Linked DNA regions of Arabidopsis thaliana. The protein of the gene in region 1 interacts with the protein of each later gene in a pairwise test. Each region holds a gene or a part of one and is shown in the gene's direction. Other genes may lie near its edges.

Region 1 (4,754 bases):
ATGATTGTATGCTTCAAGAAAATAAAAAGATCATGATTTGATAATTGATACTACACTTAAAGTAATTATAGTTTTTTTTATTTTTTTTTATTTTCACATTTCCAAACATATGTGATCGAATACGAATGGCGATGTTTAAGATGCTAAATCAACAAGATCCTTACACAAAATCGAAGCAATTTTTGAGGAGTATGTAAACAGTGACCGACTTGAATACCTTCAGTGCCACGTTTTTCCTCACTTGGACAAACTTGTTCTTCATTTTTATTTGTTTGGACCAAGATAACTCGTTATTCATTACGAGGGCTTTCCACGGAAGAAAATGCACTACCTACAAAAGAAATGGAATAATATAAACTTGAATGGGCCCTGCTTGGGATATCAAGACTTCGGCCCAGCAATGTCCGTGCATGCAAATATTTTGTTAATCACTTTTTAAAGTAGCATTTGGATTATCGCTTAGTATATTTGCATTCCCATCTATTACTAATACTACAATACTAGGAGCAAAAGTTATTAGTTCTTTAATTTGATTGCTAGATAGTGCTGGAAACTTTATTTCAGGAAATGGAATTTCTAGGCTGGCTAAATAGTGTTCTGGATTCTTGAGGGACCCTGTTACGCCTAAAAATAATGTTGTTTTTTTGAAGGTCATCAAAATAAACATTTTATAAGACAGTAAAAAAAGAAATAAGACAATTATATTTATGTAGTCAAACGCTTGTTTTTGCTGGATATATAATTACATAAAAGTTGCATTTATCCTTTAATCAATTGCCAAAAAGCAAGAAATAATATCAATCCAATCTTATAAACAACTATATTATGAAAAAGATGATAATTATTGTACGCAAGATGTTATACGACACACGTAATTTGTAGATACACAAAAAGGTCAAGGTCAACAAATAACACGATCAATTGCATTAAATGTGTACTAGCATGGTTATCAGAAATTTTTATTGATACCATGGAATCGATAGACGACAAAACCAACCGTAATTTCAAAATTTCCGTAATTGTTTCTCTTCTCTTTTCTTGTTTTATCGACGATTATGGAAATTTTTTTTTTTTAACGGAGATGTTTGGTCCGACAACGTGACGGTAAATCCTCCACTGTCTTCGCTTAAAGACAAACGACAATTAATCTTTTTAACTCCTCGTTTCACTTGCAAAGTTATTTCATCATTTTAGTAGTTTACTCTCATTCTACTAAATTTGTATTTTTATTGTAACATAACGGTCATATCAGTATTTGGTTAGTTGATTATGTGACATGACTATGGATAATAAGACTTGATATGAATTCCCATATATAAGAAATCGTCGATGACATAAAACTACTTTATCTACTAACTTCATAAGGCAAAAATGAGTAGATAATTAGATTATTAGAAAGAGAGAGACAATGAGATTGATATTTTTTATATGGGAGTCCAAAATCAAGATAGATATACTTGAAAACACTCGAACCCCACAAGGATCGACAAAATATTTCTTTTTAAATAGCTCAAAAAAATTATTTAAAAAAATTCAAAATCTTTTTAAAATATCCAAAATGTTGAAAAGTTGTAAATCGATAAAAGAGAAAAATAATAATAATTGTGCCAATAGAGAGAAAGAGAGAGACAGAAGAAGAAAGAAAGGTTCCTTTGTCTCGGAACAACCAAAGAGCCACCACCCAAAAAAAAAAAGGTTCTTAGCTTTTTTTCTTTCTTTCACACGAAATCTCACGAGACGCCTTATTTCTTCTTCTCTGTCTCTTTCCGACGGCGTAACTCTCCGGTGGAATCTCAGCTCTCTTATCAGTAGAAGAAGTTTTGGTCTTTAAATGTAATTTTTTTGGTTTTGCTTTAAATTTCAATCGTTGTTATCAGAAAAAGTAGGTAGCAAAAAAAGAGATTTTTTACGAAAAGCAGATTGACTGGTAGCTGAAACAACGGAGGAGAATTATAGAAACGAGTAAAAAACAAAACCCTAAAGGTTGAAACTTGGTTGACGAAAAAAATGAGCTGATTTTTTTTTCTTCATTTATTTCATTCTTAACTCTTTTTCACATATTTAAGAATCAGTAAGAAACAAAAAAAAACAGAGTGAGACTAAAAAAAAAGATGCCGGTAGATTTAGATAACTCCTCCACAGTTTCCGGTGAAGCAAGTGTTTCAATCTCATCCACCGGAAACCAAAACCCACTTCCAAACTCCACCGGAAAGAAGAAACGTAACCTCCCTGGCATGCCTGGTAAACTTCAAAAATCCAAACTTTATTATAACTCAAAATTTCTCAATTTTTGTTAAAGTTTTGTCCTTTTTATACAGATCCAGAGTCAGAAGTTATAGCTTTATCACCAAAAACATTACTAGCAACAAACAGATTTGTTTGTGAAATCTGTAACAAAGGGTTTCAAAGAGACCAGAATCTTCAACTTCATCGTCGTGGACACAATTTACCATGGAAGCTTCGTCAGAAATCAAACAAAGAAGTGAAGAAAAAAGTCTATGTTTGTCCTGAAGTTAGTTGTGTTCATCACGACCCTTCACGTGCTTTAGGAGATCTAACTGGAATCAAGAAACACTTTTGTCGGAAACATGGTGAGAAGAAGTGGAAATGTGATAAATGTTCTAAGAAATACGCTGTTCAATCTGATTGGAAAGCTCATTCCAAGATTTGTGGTACTAAAGAGTATAAATGTGATTGTGGTACTCTGTTTTCTAGGTAAAGTGTTTGCCTTTTTTGATCATACATAAGAAAAAATTCAAAATTCAACAATCTAAGTTTTGAGTGATTTTTGTTTGCAGGAGGGATAGTTTTATAACGCATAGAGCTTTTTGTGATGCTTTGGCTGAAGAAAATGCGAGAAGTCATCATAGTCAGAGTAAGAAACAGAATCCTGAAATTTTGACCCGGAAAAACCCGGTACCCAACCCGGTTCCTGCTCCGGTGGATACTGAGTCTGCTAAAATCAAATCCTCCTCGACTTTAACAATTAAGCAATCAGGTAAAGAGTCTCTTGTAGTGTTCTAGATTGGGAATTTTTTGGTGTTTTTGGATTCATTTTTGTCGCTATATTTCTTTGTTTTAAGCTGAAAATGAAGATGGCTAAGGTAATCTCTGTTAATGGTCGGTGGTGTTCTTGGAGTTTAGTTAGATGTTTTGTCCGTAGTGTCGTATTATTTTATCTGTTACTTGATTAAGAACATAATTCGTTTGGTAAGTTTAATAGTTGTTCAATGGCTGATTGGTTCTTTATGATAAACAAATCAAAGATATGATTGATTTGCTTTTTGTTTGTTTACAGTTTATTTTTTCAATTCAAAAAGTATCAAACTTTATGTAAACGACTAATGACTCTTATGATCTACAGAATCTCCAAAAACCCCTCCTGAAATCGTTCAAGAAGCTCCAAAACCGACCAGTTTAAATGTTGTTACAAGCAACGGTGTTTTCGCAGGCTTATTCGAATCTTCCTCGGCTTCTCCAAGTATATACACAACATCGTCTTCTTCGAAGAGTCTTTTCGCGTCATCTTCGTCCATTGAACCTATCTCTTTGGGTCTTTCAACAAGTCATGGATCATCCTTTCTTGGGTCAAACCGGTTCCACGCTCAGCCCGCGATGTCAGCAACCGCTTTACTTCAAAAAGCAGCTCAAATGGGAGCAGCTTCTTCAGGAGGTTCATTGCTTCACGGGTTAGGGATAGTTTCATCCACTTCAACTTCTATAGACGCAATAGTCCCTCATGGACTAGGATTAGGACTGCCTTGTGGTGGCGAAAGCAGCTCGGGTTTAAAAGAGCTTATGATGGGGAATTCATCGGTGTTTGGTCCGAAACAAACGACATTAGACTTCCTCGGTTTAGGTAGAGCGGTTGGTAACGGAAATGGTCCAAGTAACGGACTATCTACTCTAGTCGGAGGAGGAACCGGCATCGATATGGCAACAACATTTGGATCAGGAGAGTTTTCAGGGAAAGACATTAGTAGAAGAAAATCATAAGTAGAGTAAATGAATGTGTTTGAGAGGGTTTTAGATGTTCTTGTTCAATAGGTTAGTGTGAGAATTTGAAAACTTCCCTTTGAAAGAAAGGGTTCACTATTTAATATATATGCAATTAGTTAATTATTCTGATTTACCTAATTTCGATTTCTTAAACGCAAAGAAATCTTTAGTGACGAGTGATGATGATTTACTCTTCTTATCTAATAAATTCCTTCACAAATGCAATAAATGGAATTGTTTTGCTTTCGTTTCCTTAATCGGAATAGGTAAAGAGAGTGAGATTTACTTCTTTATATAGAAACTCTTTCCAAATCTTGAATAATAGGGTCCCATTTGTTTTTTTGTTAAAATTTTCGGTGGAATATTGAAATTTTTTACCTTTCGAATTTGACATTTGATTTGATTAGATATTCGATAGACAAAAAGAAGAAAGAGATTCGGACAATAGATTTTTTTGCTGTGCCAATCGTATCGTAGGACCATTATTGATAATCGATATAGTGACGTGTTATTATCACGACAGGACAACACTAAGCCGTTTACAATCTCCTAATACGACCCATTACGTTAATGAAAATAGGCCATCGTTACTTGGGGGCTTAGGCCATAATTTATAAGCCCATTTATCTCAGTTTAGGCCCAAAGTTTCTCAATATATCTAAATATACTAAATCAGCAGTCACTTTTCCAGTAAGTGATGCATTTAGTGATTGACACATCAGCTTATTACTATTTTTTTATTCTTTCATTTTCAC
Region 2 (3,781 bases), 320 kb from region 1:
GAAATTGAGAAACTGAATAATACTAGAATTTAAAAGAATTTATAAAATGCCTAATTGAATAACACTAGAATCAACATTCTAATAAATTCCGTCAAATTCATTGCTCCAATACCCCCCTCCCCCCCCCCCCCCCCCCAAGTAATTGAAATGGGCTTGAAACCATGGGGCCGGAAATTTTCACTTTGTATTATTTTGATGAAGCCCAATAGACTTTACGGAAAGACCTTAGGTTTCAAGTAGGTTTTTAAGTTTTATGAAACAGAGAAACATATACGTGTTCGTGAAGGAGAAGACGTGAAGGTAACTTGGACTATAAAGTGTATAGTGTTAGCGAAAAGGTGAAGCAGAATAAATAAAGTGTTATGCGTTATCAAGTCTACCTAATATAACTAGCTAGGGATTTCTACTCTTGTTTTCATAATCGATCTACGGACATTTCTCGGAACGTGGTCAAGATTCATGAGTCTTCTGTTTTTTATGTCTCTGTTCAATTTGGTTTAGAGATTAGTATGCTTATTTGTTTATTTCATATATGGTTATGAGAGGAGAGGCTAATGGCATATACTCTGATGTTTGTGATGGCTGCTAATATCGTTGAGGAGTTATTCACGTTGTTTCATGCGCAAAAATCAACAGAAAAAATTCTGATTATGAGCCAACTCTGTGAACCCTTATAGTGCGCCCAGAGGTTTGCGAGGCAAAATCCCGATGAACCAGAAGGAATTTTAGATCTCTATCAACAATAACTATGATGGAGCTCGTTTAAATTCATCACAGCGACAACATCATTAGGCTGCCCAACGTCTATGTCTCCTGGAGGTGATGGTACTTGATCTCTCAACCAATTTTCTTGAAAATATCATGCCTTGTGAGCGCTTTCATATTGCGCCTAAAATACCCAATACGCAATGAACCTACTTCCAAAGGCATAGAAAAAAAACTGATAATGATAATGAGATTTGTCACTATACTTATCCTATCCCTACATAGGAGCCGTTTGATTGTTTAGTCCATGTTTTCATTTTGTTTAGTCTAATGCTATATAACTTTTCTTTATCAGTCTATTGTTATATGACTTATATATATCTCAAGAGATAAGGCCAATAAATCTTCTTCTTAATTATATCTGAAGACTCAAAACATATTTTGAGTTTAATAAAATAAATAACGTCCAAATGCTACATACAAACGGACCAAATTCATGGAGGTATAAATTTAAATTATTTTTTGTTCCAAAGTGTATGCAGTGATTTATTGATGAATGCGATAGAGCGGCGAAAGAGAATAATCGTCACCTAGAAGACAAATTGATCGGCCGTACATATATACATAAATACAAACCTGCCACTTCACATGTCACCCACCTTTAAGCACCCCCTTCACATACATACTTTCTATAACAAAAATATCAGCTTCTAGTTCATATTTATGTTACAATAACTCGAGTGAATCATACTAAAAAAATGTAATGCTTTCTCTAAATAGGAGATAAAATGCACCCTCCGACCTAACTAAAGATTCCTTATTTTAGCTATTTAAGACATATTGCACATGTATAGAGATACATAAACACATATGCAATATGCACATCTTCTATACATTGAAAAAAGCTGATCTTGCAAATATTTGTCTTACACAACACAAGCGACCAAAGCGATGCGTTTCCCAATGATAAGGTTACGACATACTTACACGACTCTCTCTATTGTCTCGTCTCTTTCTTTCCTCATCCCTCTCCTTTGTCTCCTTTCACTCTATTTTTCACTTTTCAGAATACTTTTACGTAAAAATCATGGACATGTCATTGTCTCCACCCTACTATACTCTTTTTTTGTTCTTTTTGTTTCCTCTTGTGTCACAAAAATAACAAGATTAAACGTACATTTCTCTCTAAAACCAGACTCAAATGACCAAAACCCGGATTCTCAACCCGACCCGATTCCCTTCTCCCAAACCCTTACGTGGCTGCGGCGACGCTAACTTCATGGAACAGCTCCTCCTTCACTGCGCCACCGCCATAGACTCCAACGACGCTGCATTAACTCACCAAATCCTCTGGGTCCTCAACAACATCGCTCCACCAGACGGTGACTCCACCCAACGTCTTACATCCGCATTCCTCCGCGCGTTGCTCTCACGCGCCGTCTCCAAAACCCCTACACTATCATCCACCATTAGCTTCCTACCTCAGGCCGATGAACTCCATCGTTTCTCAGTCGTGGAGTTAGCCGCTTTCGTAGACCTCACTCCGTGGCACCGGTTCGGATTCATTGCAGCCAACGCCGCGATCTTAACCGCCGTTGAAGGTTACTCAACGGTTCACATCGTTGACTTAAGTTTGACTCATTGTATGCAAATCCCTACTCTTATAGACGCCATGGCAAGCCGACTCAACAAACCTCCTCCGCTTCTTAAACTCACCGTCGTCTCTTCCTCCGACCACTTCCCACCATTCATCAACATCTCCTACGAAGAACTCGGATCTAAACTAGTCAACTTCGCCACCACACGAAACATTACAATGGAGTTCACAATCGTACCTTCTACTTACTCCGATGGCTTCTCCTCCCTCTTACAACAGTTACGGATTTATCCTTCTTCATTCAACGAAGCTCTCGTCGTTAACTGTCACATGATGCTCCGTTACATCCCTGAAGAACCCCTAACTTCATCATCATCATCGCTCCGAACAGTTTTCTTGAAACAACTCCGATCTTTGAATCCAAGAATCGTAACCCTAATCGAAGAAGACGTAGATCTCACATCGGAGAACTTGGTTAACCGGTTAAAATCGGCGTTTAACTACTTCTGGATTCCGTTCGATACGACGGACACGTTTATGAGTGAGCAGAGACGGTGGTACGAGGCGGAGATAAGTTGGAAGATAGAAAACGTGGTGGCGAAGGAAGGTGCGGAGAGAGTGGAGAGGACGGAGACGAAGAGACGGTGGATAGAGAGAATGAGAGAGGCTGAGTTCGGTGGAGTTAGGGTTAAAGAAGATGCGGTGGCGGATGTGAAGGCGATGCTGGAGGAGCACGCTGTCGGGTGGGGAATGAAGAAGGAAGACGACGACGAGAGTCTCGTGCTGACGTGGAAAGGTCATAGTGTTGTGTTTGCTACCGTTTGGGTTCCCATTTAAATCAGGTTGATTTAATTTAATTAGCGTTTTAATTGGATACCTAATATAGTAGAATAGCATTGCTTTAATTTCTGATCTAATTACAATTTAATAATATTTTTTATTAACTTTTTTTTTTGTTCTAATCTAGTGTCAATTGTTTTGTACTAGTTCAAAACATTCTAACGTTGAAAAATAATCGTTATTATGACTAAACATATTTTACATCTTCATAAGCACTTTTAGTTTACATAGATATTTTTCCGTGAATAGGCTTAGTGATAACAGTGAAAACTTATTATAATAGGAAAAATTGAATAGTATATAGTTATTTAAATTTGTAGCGAGAATAAACATGTTGGAGATACAAAGTAGAGAGGATCAGATACAATTGCCTTCTTAAAATGAAGACATAAACAAAACAAATGAAAAACCAATAATATCTTCTCATCGTCAAAATGAACATTCAAACATTAATAAAACGAAAGGAAAATAGGAGATAAGACAACTTATATTTTCCCATTACCAGCTCTAGTTAAACGCACCACAATCACGACGGATGTTTCCATTGCTGCTATTCTTAACTCCAACACGGCCAAGTTTGGTCATGGCTATCACAAAAGCGCGGTTAAAGGCCGTAGAGTTTGAGGCCCAAGCATTAAC
Region 3 (4,857 bases), 1.3 Mb from region 1:
ATTTAGACCGACCACTTGTGTTTCTGTCATTTTACATTTATGAATATGAACAATCCATTTGATTCCGTCCTAGGTGGGAGTAGACTGCAATCTACAATAATTAATTTATAGTACAAAACCAATTGATTAGTGAATTGGTTTAAGTTATTAAACTAAAAGAAGTAATTATTCAAGGTTGAGCCCTAGCTATAGTGCCAGATATTTTTAATTAAATCCTAATTAAGCATTTAATTAAGACCCCAATAGACGAAACGAAAGCAAGTACCATCATCATATATAATCATGCATATTTATCAAAGTTTTATATTTTATAACAAGAGAGGGAATCCCAAAGCTATCATCATCATCCACATTTACTCTACCATACTTTCGATTCTTTATGCTCTTTTTATAATCTTAATTGTTGTTGAAACTTTTGCTTCTTTATTTTAAATATACGTTTATGGTGCTTATTTAAACAACAAATATGTAATACGTCGAAACAGTTTGTAATATGTGTACGTAATATTAAACTATATCATTTCTTCGAATAATAACACATATCACATATCATATGTTATTTACAAAAATTCTTCATCAAATACATTCATTAACATATATATATATATTTATATATATGACATCTATGATCATATATTTTTATTTTTATCAAAATAGTCATAGTTTCCATATGTATTATTAATAGAGTTTAGTTTACAATATTTCAAAGCCTTAATAAGTAGTTCTTTTACTTTGAAAAAACAAAAATAGACATTTATAATAGAAAAACAGAGAGGTTGGTTAAAATGCTAAAAGTCTCATTTTATTCATACTTTTAGTTTTTTCTTTTTTTTTTGAAAAACCCTATTTATTTGATAACATACATAAATCAACTTTTGGGCAGTGGTGTTACATACCATAGTTCTTCACTTTTTTTGTATAGAGATTTGCTATCTGATTAAATAAAAACGAATAATGCTTGGGTTTAAAATTGTGAATAACAATGATAATGTTTCTAGTTTCCGGCAAAAGTAGCAGGGGAAGAATGATTACGTGAATGATGTAGGACCCAAAACGTTTTGAAATAAATTACTAAATTTTTGACCAAATTGAGTTGTTTAATTTGGAGAGGAGTGTTGGCCCCATCACTCTCTCGTCGACCTCTCCATTGTCTTTATGGAATGAATGATAAAAGAGGACACCTCACGTGGACTCTGCTGCCACAACGACTCTCTCCAACCATATCCCCTTCACATATATGACATATTTTTCTTACATTTACTATATATTAAAGACTCCACATTGTACATTTTTTCATCTCATTTATTAACGCAACGTTCAGATTTTTCCATTTTTAACTAGTCGTGAAAAGTATTTTCGTTGTACGGTGAATATTGTAGCCCTTTTTTACGGTGGGTGTTTTTTTTTTCATTTGATTGATGAGTAAATCTACATCGAGAAAAGAATATAATGAAAGATATACCGAAATCTTTTGATTATGGACAGATTTATTTTGTTTAAACCTTTTTTTTTTTTTACTGTTTTAAAAAGTTGACTAAATGCTTATCTGAGAAAATAATTAACGTGAAAAATAATTTGATATAATTCGGATTAAGTTAACTATAACAGACTGATTTTGATTGAGCAGAAATTAACGTTGAAATATTCACATTGGCTAATTACATCAATTCATTTTTGCGTTGATTAAATGACACTTTCTTTTCTTCAACTATTAAATGATATTCCCATTGTTGACATTTCTCTAAGTATATGATTTTAAGTAATTTTCATAAAGAAGCAATGAACAGTATTTTCATTTGAAAAAAAAAAGATATGTAATGAGATTTTTCTTTTAATTTTTTAATGTTATGTAAAGCTCACCCATATAATTCTCACTCATGATCTTTGTTTCTTTAAGCTTTTCTTCTCCATTGTCTCTCTCTTTCTTATCCTCTCTTTCTCAATCAATTCCTTCAGACTTATACACTTTATTTTTTTTCCCCTCTTGTCGAAAACATCACATATAAATAAAAAACCAAAAACCCTAATTTATAAAATATATATAAAATAGTTATAGCTCCCCACTTATATATGCAAAAGCCAACATCAAGTATCTTAAATGTCATAATGGACGGTGGAGACAGCGTCGGAGGAGGAGGAGGAGATGATCACCACCGTCACCTCCACCATCACCACCGCCCTACTTTCCCTTTTCAACTACTCGGAAAACACGACCCCGACGACAACCATCAACAACAACCTTCCCCTTCCTCCTCCTCCTCTCTATTTTCTCTCCATCAACACCAACAATTATCTCAATCGCAACCTCAATCGCAATCGCAAAAGTCACAACCGCAGACAACGCAAAAAGAGTTATTACAAACGCAAGAGGAATCTGCGGTGGTGGCAGCTAAAAAGCCACCGTTGAAACGAGCGTCGACGAAAGACCGACACACGAAAGTAGACGGAAGAGGGAGGAGAATAAGGATGCCGGCGTTATGTGCAGCTAGGGTTTTTCAGCTAACGCGAGAGCTAGGTCATAAATCCGACGGTGAGACAATAGAGTGGCTTCTTCAACAAGCTGAACCATCTGTAATCGCCGCCACCGGAACCGGAACAATCCCGGCGAATTTCACTTCTTTAAACATCTCTCTCCGTTCTTCAGGCTCTTCCATGTCTCTTCCTTCTCATTTCCGCTCCGCCGCTTCCACTTTTAGCCCTAATAACATATTTTCTCCGGCGATGCTTCAACAACAACAACAACAACAACGTGGTGGTGGTGTTGGGTTTCATCATCCCCATCTACAGGGACGTGCACCTACGTCGTCTTTGTTTCCTGGTATTGATAACTTCACACCAACGACGTCGTTTTTGAACTTTCATAATCCAACAAAGCAAGAAGGAGATCAAGATTCTGAAGAGTTAAACTCGGAGAAGAAAAGAAGAATCCAAACGACGTCGGATTTGCATCAACAACAACAACAACACCAACATGATCAAATCGGAGGATATACACTTCAATCTAGCAACAGTGGATCTACAGCCACCGCAGCCGCCGCGCAACAAATACCGGGAAATTTCTGGATGGTTGCGGCGGCTGCGGCTGCAGGTGGTGGTGGTGGTAATAACAACCAAACAGGTGGTCTTATGACAGCTTCTATTGGTACTGGTGGCGGCGGTGGAGAGCCTGTTTGGACGTTTCCTTCCATTAACACGGCAGCGGCAGCGTTATATAGAAGTGGCGTTTCGGGCGTTCCAAGCGGCGCGGTTTCTAGCGGTTTACATTTTATGAATTTCGCAGCGCCAATGGCATTTCTTACTGGACAACAACAGCTAGCAACAACTAGTAATCATGAGATTAATGAAGATAGTAATAATAATGAAGGAGGAAGAAGTGACGGTGGTGGTGATCATCATAATACACAGAGACATCATCATCATCAACAACAACATCATCATAATATTCTCTCCGGCTTGAACCAGTACGGACGGCAAGTTTCCGGCGACTCTCAAGCTAGTGGATCACTTGGAGGTGGTGATGAGGAGGATCAGCAAGATTAGACACACACAAAAACATTTTAACGGTGGGATTTTCTGCCGACGGCGGTAGCGGTGACGGCGTTCGGCGGCTGTGTAAAACTTTTGTTTTCACCGTTAATTTTTTTTATTTTCTGTAGTAATTTTTTTTGCTAAGTAAAAAAAAAAAAAAAAACACGTGAGATTTTCTTTTTAATTTTGATTTTTTTACTTGATTTTAAATTTGATTTTTCTTGTGAGTGAGTGATTAAATAGTACACGAGATTTTTTATGTCAGGTTTTTTGGATTTTGAGGAGAATATGACACTTTTTTTTATCATTATTGTTTTTAATTGTTTTTTTTCTTCTTCTGATAGTGTCACTGTCGTCTCGATTCTCAATCATCTTCGTTTTCTTTATCCATTAAGAAATTAATTATACATAAAGAAAAATTCTAAAAAGTATTCGTCAAACAATGTTGGTTCCTATAGTAATAATAGTAACATATACATCAAAGTATAATCTTACTGTTTTTTTAGTAACATTACGTTTTTTTAAGTGTTAATACAAAAAAAATTGAGAAACTATTTTATCAAGGAATGAGATGGGCCTCTCTCTATTGGCCCACCAATCTCTGTTATATTTGGCCCTTGAAGTAGTTGTTTCAAAGCTAATAGAAAACAGCAAAGTGTCTCGTTTGTTTTACATGGTCGAACGAAAACGATACAAAAAACATAAAAATATCTCGTTTGATCTTATATGCTATGAAATATATTAAATGCTTTTTTTAGTATATGATTCATTTTATCTCTGTTTCTTTGTCGTTTGTCCCCACTAAACAATCAATCTGATTTTGTATATGATGAGATATCTAATACTATTATATCATGATATTGTTAAAACTGGTTTTGTATATGATGATAATATTATATCAAGACTAGTTTAGACTATGAGAATTAATTAGAAAGTGATATAGTTTGAATGTCGCGTACAAAGTTATGGCTCAAAATTTTGTTTCTTTTTTTTTGACGAAGTACACCAAAAATATTTGATTGTTTCAGTATATTCTTTTTGTGTTTGTATGCCTTTAGAAAGTAATATTAACAATTTGTAAATTGATAGTGTTTAATTAGAACATAATTTACTTTATAAAATCTATTATTATGTTGTGAAAGAAAATATTCACTCAACATCGATCGGTCATATATTCAAGAATCAAGATAAATAATCTGAAGTTTTAAAAATCTGTTTTCGCATGGGTTAAATATAAGTTTTTACAAAAAGGATGAAGACAGAAAACAAATAAAAATAAATGTGAATGCAGACTATATAATATATCATTGAATGTATAAATTATACAAA
Region 4 (4,555 bases), about 14 Mb from region 1:
TTATTTTATTGTGTTCGTATTAGGTTTGTTAATTGACCCTTTTCTATCATGCTAATATGTCACTTTCTGATTTATTATTACATTAAAGTAGGTGGTCTAATAGTAATTATTTATATGAATAGTTTTAAACTATCAAATAATGCTGTATACTATATATATTTTTCCAACTAAAAAATTATATAGTTATGATCCTTTGCGTCAAGTTTTTATTATTGCTTTGAAGAAAAAACATATTCAACTACTTGAAAATTACGTTAGCTTACCGTACGTGTGTTCAAATTTAATATGCTACAAAATTGTGTGAACAATATAATAGGTTTGTTGTATTTATTCGTTTTTCACCAATCTGGAGATATTTTGTGGTACAAGTATTATAACCACAATATATTCCATACATGAATTAGTTGTGAGAGTTATAGTCAAATTGGTTGGGATTCAAGAAGCATTATACTATTATTATAGAGTCCCACCAATTATTTTTGAACTCGTAAAATTCTCAAGATCTTAGAAATGTCTCCGTTGAAGCTTAGATTGTCTTTTACTCACCTTTATTAGTTTATTTATACGTCGTATTCTTCAATTTCAAAATACCTTTCATATATGAATTTGGGTGATATGCACACGAACACGATACGGTGAAATCAATTAGTTCCACAAGTCAAAATAGCTAGAAAAGAAGTATTGGATTTTAGAACAAAGAATAACGAGAGTCTTATTGTGTTTGTTACTAGTTTATAGAATCTAAAACAGGATTGCAAAAAACAAAAACATCAAAAACGAAGATGAGAGATGAAAAAAGAAAATCTTAGATTATAAAGAGCCCTAATTGTATTGCTAACTAATATTATATTCTTCTTTTAACGAGTTCGATTTTTCGAATAAAATCTACTTTAGTTAACTATTGAGATTCTTACAACAAAAAGGTAAAAAGAAGTGGAGCATCAACAAGCTTTATGTATTTGCATTGAACTAGCATGGGTCAACCCTTAAAAGAAACCGAGAAGCACAAAAGGTTGAATTGAACCTTGACCCATCTAACACCATAGGTTTTTAGGGTATTTATTCATTTATTGAATTCGGAAACTCGAAAAATAAAGTAGCTAGTTCATTCCAGTGATTTCAACTTTTTAAGTATATAATCCCCATGATTATGTATGTATGTGGACATGTCCACGAAAAGAGTGCCCATTTTCATATCAAGGAAGTTAGTAACTCTGACCAAAAGTAGATGTTTTAACACATCTTAGTATTTTTATATCACACTAAATTAAAGTAGTCTGTTTAATGTATTCTCTTAGAAAATAACATAATGATTTGCATGCACATAACAAATCCTATACTATTATTTTGGTAAACAAATTTGGTTTTGGAAACATCTAACTCTAAAAACCATCATTATTATTATTATTATTTTTTTTCTAATATTTTGGCATCCTACAATTTAGTTTATGATTGTGTTGATTATTATTTGGTTGTATTTGCATCTACACATTAAGTTAAACATTGATTTTAAAAATTAACATGAACAAAATGAATACTTACTGTTAAAACCTTATAACAATCAGATTTTTTTTTTAAACAAAGAATGGAAAAAAATGAATAAATTTGGGAAACGAGGAAGCTTTGGTTACCCAAAAAAGAAAGAAAGAAAAAATAAAAGTATTGAATGTGGAGATGAGAGGAAAAAAACACTTACTGTCATCTTACCCAGTTGCGTCATCATCAAACCCACAACACTCTCTTCCTCTTCCCTCTTCCTTCTGCTTATTTTACTTTTTCTCTTTAACCATTTTCCCGAGAGAGAAAAATAAAAAGAAAAGCTTTCTCTGGGTTTTTCTTGATTGGTCAATTACACATCTCCCTTTCTCTCTTCTCTCTCTCACCTTCGCTTGCTTTGCTTGCTTCATCTCTTTGGTCTCCTTCTTGCGTTTTCTATTTACTACACAGACCAAACAATAGAGAGAGACTTTAAGCTATAGAAAAAAAGAGAGAGATTCTCTCAAATATGGGTTAGTCCACAATTTTCACTAAACCTCTTCTTCTTAGGATTGTTTTTAGGGTTAGGGTTTTGAGGTGAGGAGAGCAAGTATGCGGGAGTTTCATCCTTTTTGAGTTACTCTGGATTCCTCACCCTCTAACGACGACCACCGTCGCCGCCGCCGCCGCCGTCTCGACGAATATGCTCTACCAATGTCTGACGACCAATTCCATCACCCGCCGCCTCCTTCTTCAATGAGGCACCGTTCTACGTCGGATGCGGCGGACGGCGGCTGCGGCGAGATTGTTGAGGTGCAAGGTGGTCACATTGTTCGGTCTACCGGAAGAAAAGACCGCCACAGCAAAGTCTGCACGGCTAAAGGGCCACGTGACCGGCGCGTGAGACTCTCTGCTCACACGGCGATTCAGTTTTACGATGTTCAAGACAGGCTTGGTTTCGACCGACCTAGCAAAGCCGTTGATTGGCTTATCAAAAAGGCTAAGACTTCCATTGACGAGCTCGCTGAGCTTCCTCCCTGGAATCCCGCCGATGCAATTCGCCTAGCCGCTGCTAACGCTAAACCCAGAAGAACCACCGCCAAAACCCAAATCTCTCCGTCTCCGCCACCGCCGCAACAGCAACAACAACAACAACAGCTTCAGTTCGGTGTTGGCTTCAACGGAGGAGGAGCAGAGCATCCGAGTAACAACGAGTCGAGTTTTCTCCCGCCGTCAATGGATTCAGATTCGATAGCTGACACTATAAAGTCGTTTTTTCCGGTGATTGGCTCTTCAACGGAGGCTCCTTCGAATCATAACCTTATGCACAACTATCATCATCAGCATCCGCCGGATTTGCTTTCTCGAACTAATAGCCAAAACCAAGATCTCCGTCTCTCGCTGCAATCGTTCCCGGATGGTCCACCGTCGCTTCTGCACCACCAACATCACCACCACACCTCTGCTTCCGCCTCCGAGCCTACTCTGTTCTACGGACAGAGCAATCCGTTAGGGTTTGACACATCGAGTTGGGAGCAGCAGTCGTCGGAATTCGGAAGGATTCAGAGACTAGTGGCTTGGAACAGCGGCGGTGGCGGCGGAGCAACCGATACAGGAAACGGAGGAGGGTTTCTGTTCGCTCCTCCTACTCCTTCAACGACGTCGTTTCAGCCAGTTCTTGGCCAAAGCCAACAGCTTTATTCTCAGAGGGGTCCCCTTCAGTCCAGTTACAGTCCCATGATCCGTGCTTGGTTTGATCCTCACCATCATCACCAATCCATCTCCACCGACGATCTCAACCACCACCATCACCTTCCTCCACCGGTTCACCAATCAGCAATCCCCGGAATCGGATTCGCCTCAGGTGAATTCTCTTCGGGTTTTCGCATACCAGCACGGTTTCAGGGCCAAGAAGAGGAGCAGCACGACGGTCTCACTCACAAGCCGTCCTCTGCTTCCTCTATTTCTCGCCATTGACAATCGAAACTAATCCTCTAAGTTTCAGGTTTATCTCAAGTTCTGTCCTTTTACATCAAATTCACTACTTTTGTACTTCTTTGGTCATTGAACTTTAAACCATTTTGCAGGGCTTGTCTAGCTTCCATGCACATTGAAGCTTGACTTAGATTGTCCGGAACAGGGAAGGTGTTCTCGGTTTGTGTAGTCAATGGCCTGAATCTAGAAAACGCAAGGAAATGAAGAAAGAACAACAGTTTCAGGTTCTTCTTCTTCTTCTTCCAATATCTTAACCTTGCCGATTGTAATTTTTCATATTTTCACCAGTTAGACCAACGTTCTTCTGTAGCTCAATTATGGTTAGATTCCAAGGTTTCGTCTTGTTGTGTTATGTTTGTAACTTTGTATCATCATCATCCTATTGTTACTGCTCCCTGTTCTTATTGTGTAACTCCGTGGATGTTCTAATAAAGTCTGAAACTTTCTCTTTGGGTTTTACTTTTACTGCTCTGTTCAGGCTAGATCCTTGTTATTTAAACAACATGAGATTCCTATTTCTCACGTAATCTTTTGGTCCCAAGAGATATAAGTTGGTCATTTTCCATGAACAGTAAGTTTTGAATTGTTTCTTCTTCTGGAACATCAGGGGGATTTAGCCAGTTCCCTTAAATTACAAGTGAAACTTAGCTCACTAAGAGTAAAAATATGATTATTGTTTTCTATGTCTGATGTCAATAATTGTTCTCTCTCACCTACTTTAGTGGTAGGAGGAGATCCACCAAACTTGAATGTGATGTTGTCTTTGATGAGTAAAAGAATGGGGACATGAGATAGGTAAAGAGAGCCACCCATGTTGGTCTAAATGAAGGAAGTTGATCAAAACTAGTCTATCTTCTCTATCATCATCATCTTTTGATAATAATATTGGATTTTTGCAAAGTTTAGTCAAAAACACTTGGGGTCTAAATGCATGTGTATTATAAGAATATTTAACTTTACCTTTTAATAGAAAAGCAGCAACACCTTTTCATGTGATGTAATCAAAACACACCAGATGGATGAGTTGAGATATCATAAAGTACGTTTACATCAAAAGATAGAAAAGAAGAATCTTCAATTTAAA

What was found.
Region 2: the proteins of IDD2 (region 1) and AT3G49950 interact in binary tests that used the Arabidopsis thaliana proteins (3 or more experiments, as listed by UniProt).
Region 3: the proteins of IDD2 (region 1) and TCP14 interact in binary tests that used the Arabidopsis thaliana proteins (3 or more experiments, as listed by UniProt).
Region 4: the proteins of IDD2 (region 1) and TCP4 interact in binary tests that used the Arabidopsis thaliana proteins (3 or more experiments, as listed by UniProt).

Annotation. Positions count from the first base shown.
Region 1 is NC_003074.8:18,838,834-18,843,587, forward strand, and holds IDD2 (indeterminate(ID)-domain 2), read left to right. Parts: upstream 1-1,577; 5' UTR 1,578-2,111; coding exon 2,112-2,241; intron 2,242-2,318; coding exon 2,319-2,715; intron 2,716-2,798; coding exon 2,799-2,998; intron 2,999-3,364; coding exon 3,365-3,996; 3' UTR 3,997-4,220; downstream 4,221-4,754. UniProt on the Arabidopsis thaliana protein: Transcription factor that acts as a positive regulator of gibberellin (GA) action, homeostasis and signaling. GA converts the GAF1 complex from transcriptional activator to repressor via the degradation of DELLA proteins.
Region 2 is NC_003074.8:18,520,664-18,524,444, forward strand, and holds AT3G49950 (GRAS family transcription factor), read left to right. Parts: upstream 1-1,802; 5' UTR 1,803-1,906; coding exon 1,907-3,139; 3' UTR 3,140-3,271; downstream 3,272-3,781. Other genes in the region: AT3G49960 (Peroxidase superfamily protein), read right to left, coding at 3,650-3,781. UniProt on the Arabidopsis thaliana protein: Probable transcription factor involved in plant development.
Region 3 is NC_003074.8:17,556,934-17,561,790, forward strand, and holds TCP14 (TEOSINTE BRANCHED, cycloidea and PCF (TCP) 14), read left to right. Parts: upstream 1-1,859; 5' UTR 1,860-2,070; coding exon 2,071-3,540; 3' UTR 3,541-4,326; downstream 4,327-4,857. UniProt on the Arabidopsis thaliana protein: Transcription factor involved the regulation of plant development. Binds to the Up1 elements (5'-GGCCCAWW-3') in early light-induced proteins (ELIPs, e.g.
Region 4 is NC_003074.8:5,060,118-5,064,672, forward strand, and holds TCP4 (TCP family transcription factor 4), read left to right. Parts: upstream 1-1,563; 5' UTR 1,564-2,190; coding exon 2,191-3,453; 3' UTR 3,454-3,481; intron 3,482-3,563; 3' UTR 3,564-4,035; downstream 4,036-4,555. UniProt on the Arabidopsis thaliana protein: Transcription factor playing a pivotal role in the control of morphogenesis of shoot organs by negatively regulating the expression of boundary-specific genes such as CUC genes, probably through the induction of miRNA (e.g. miR164).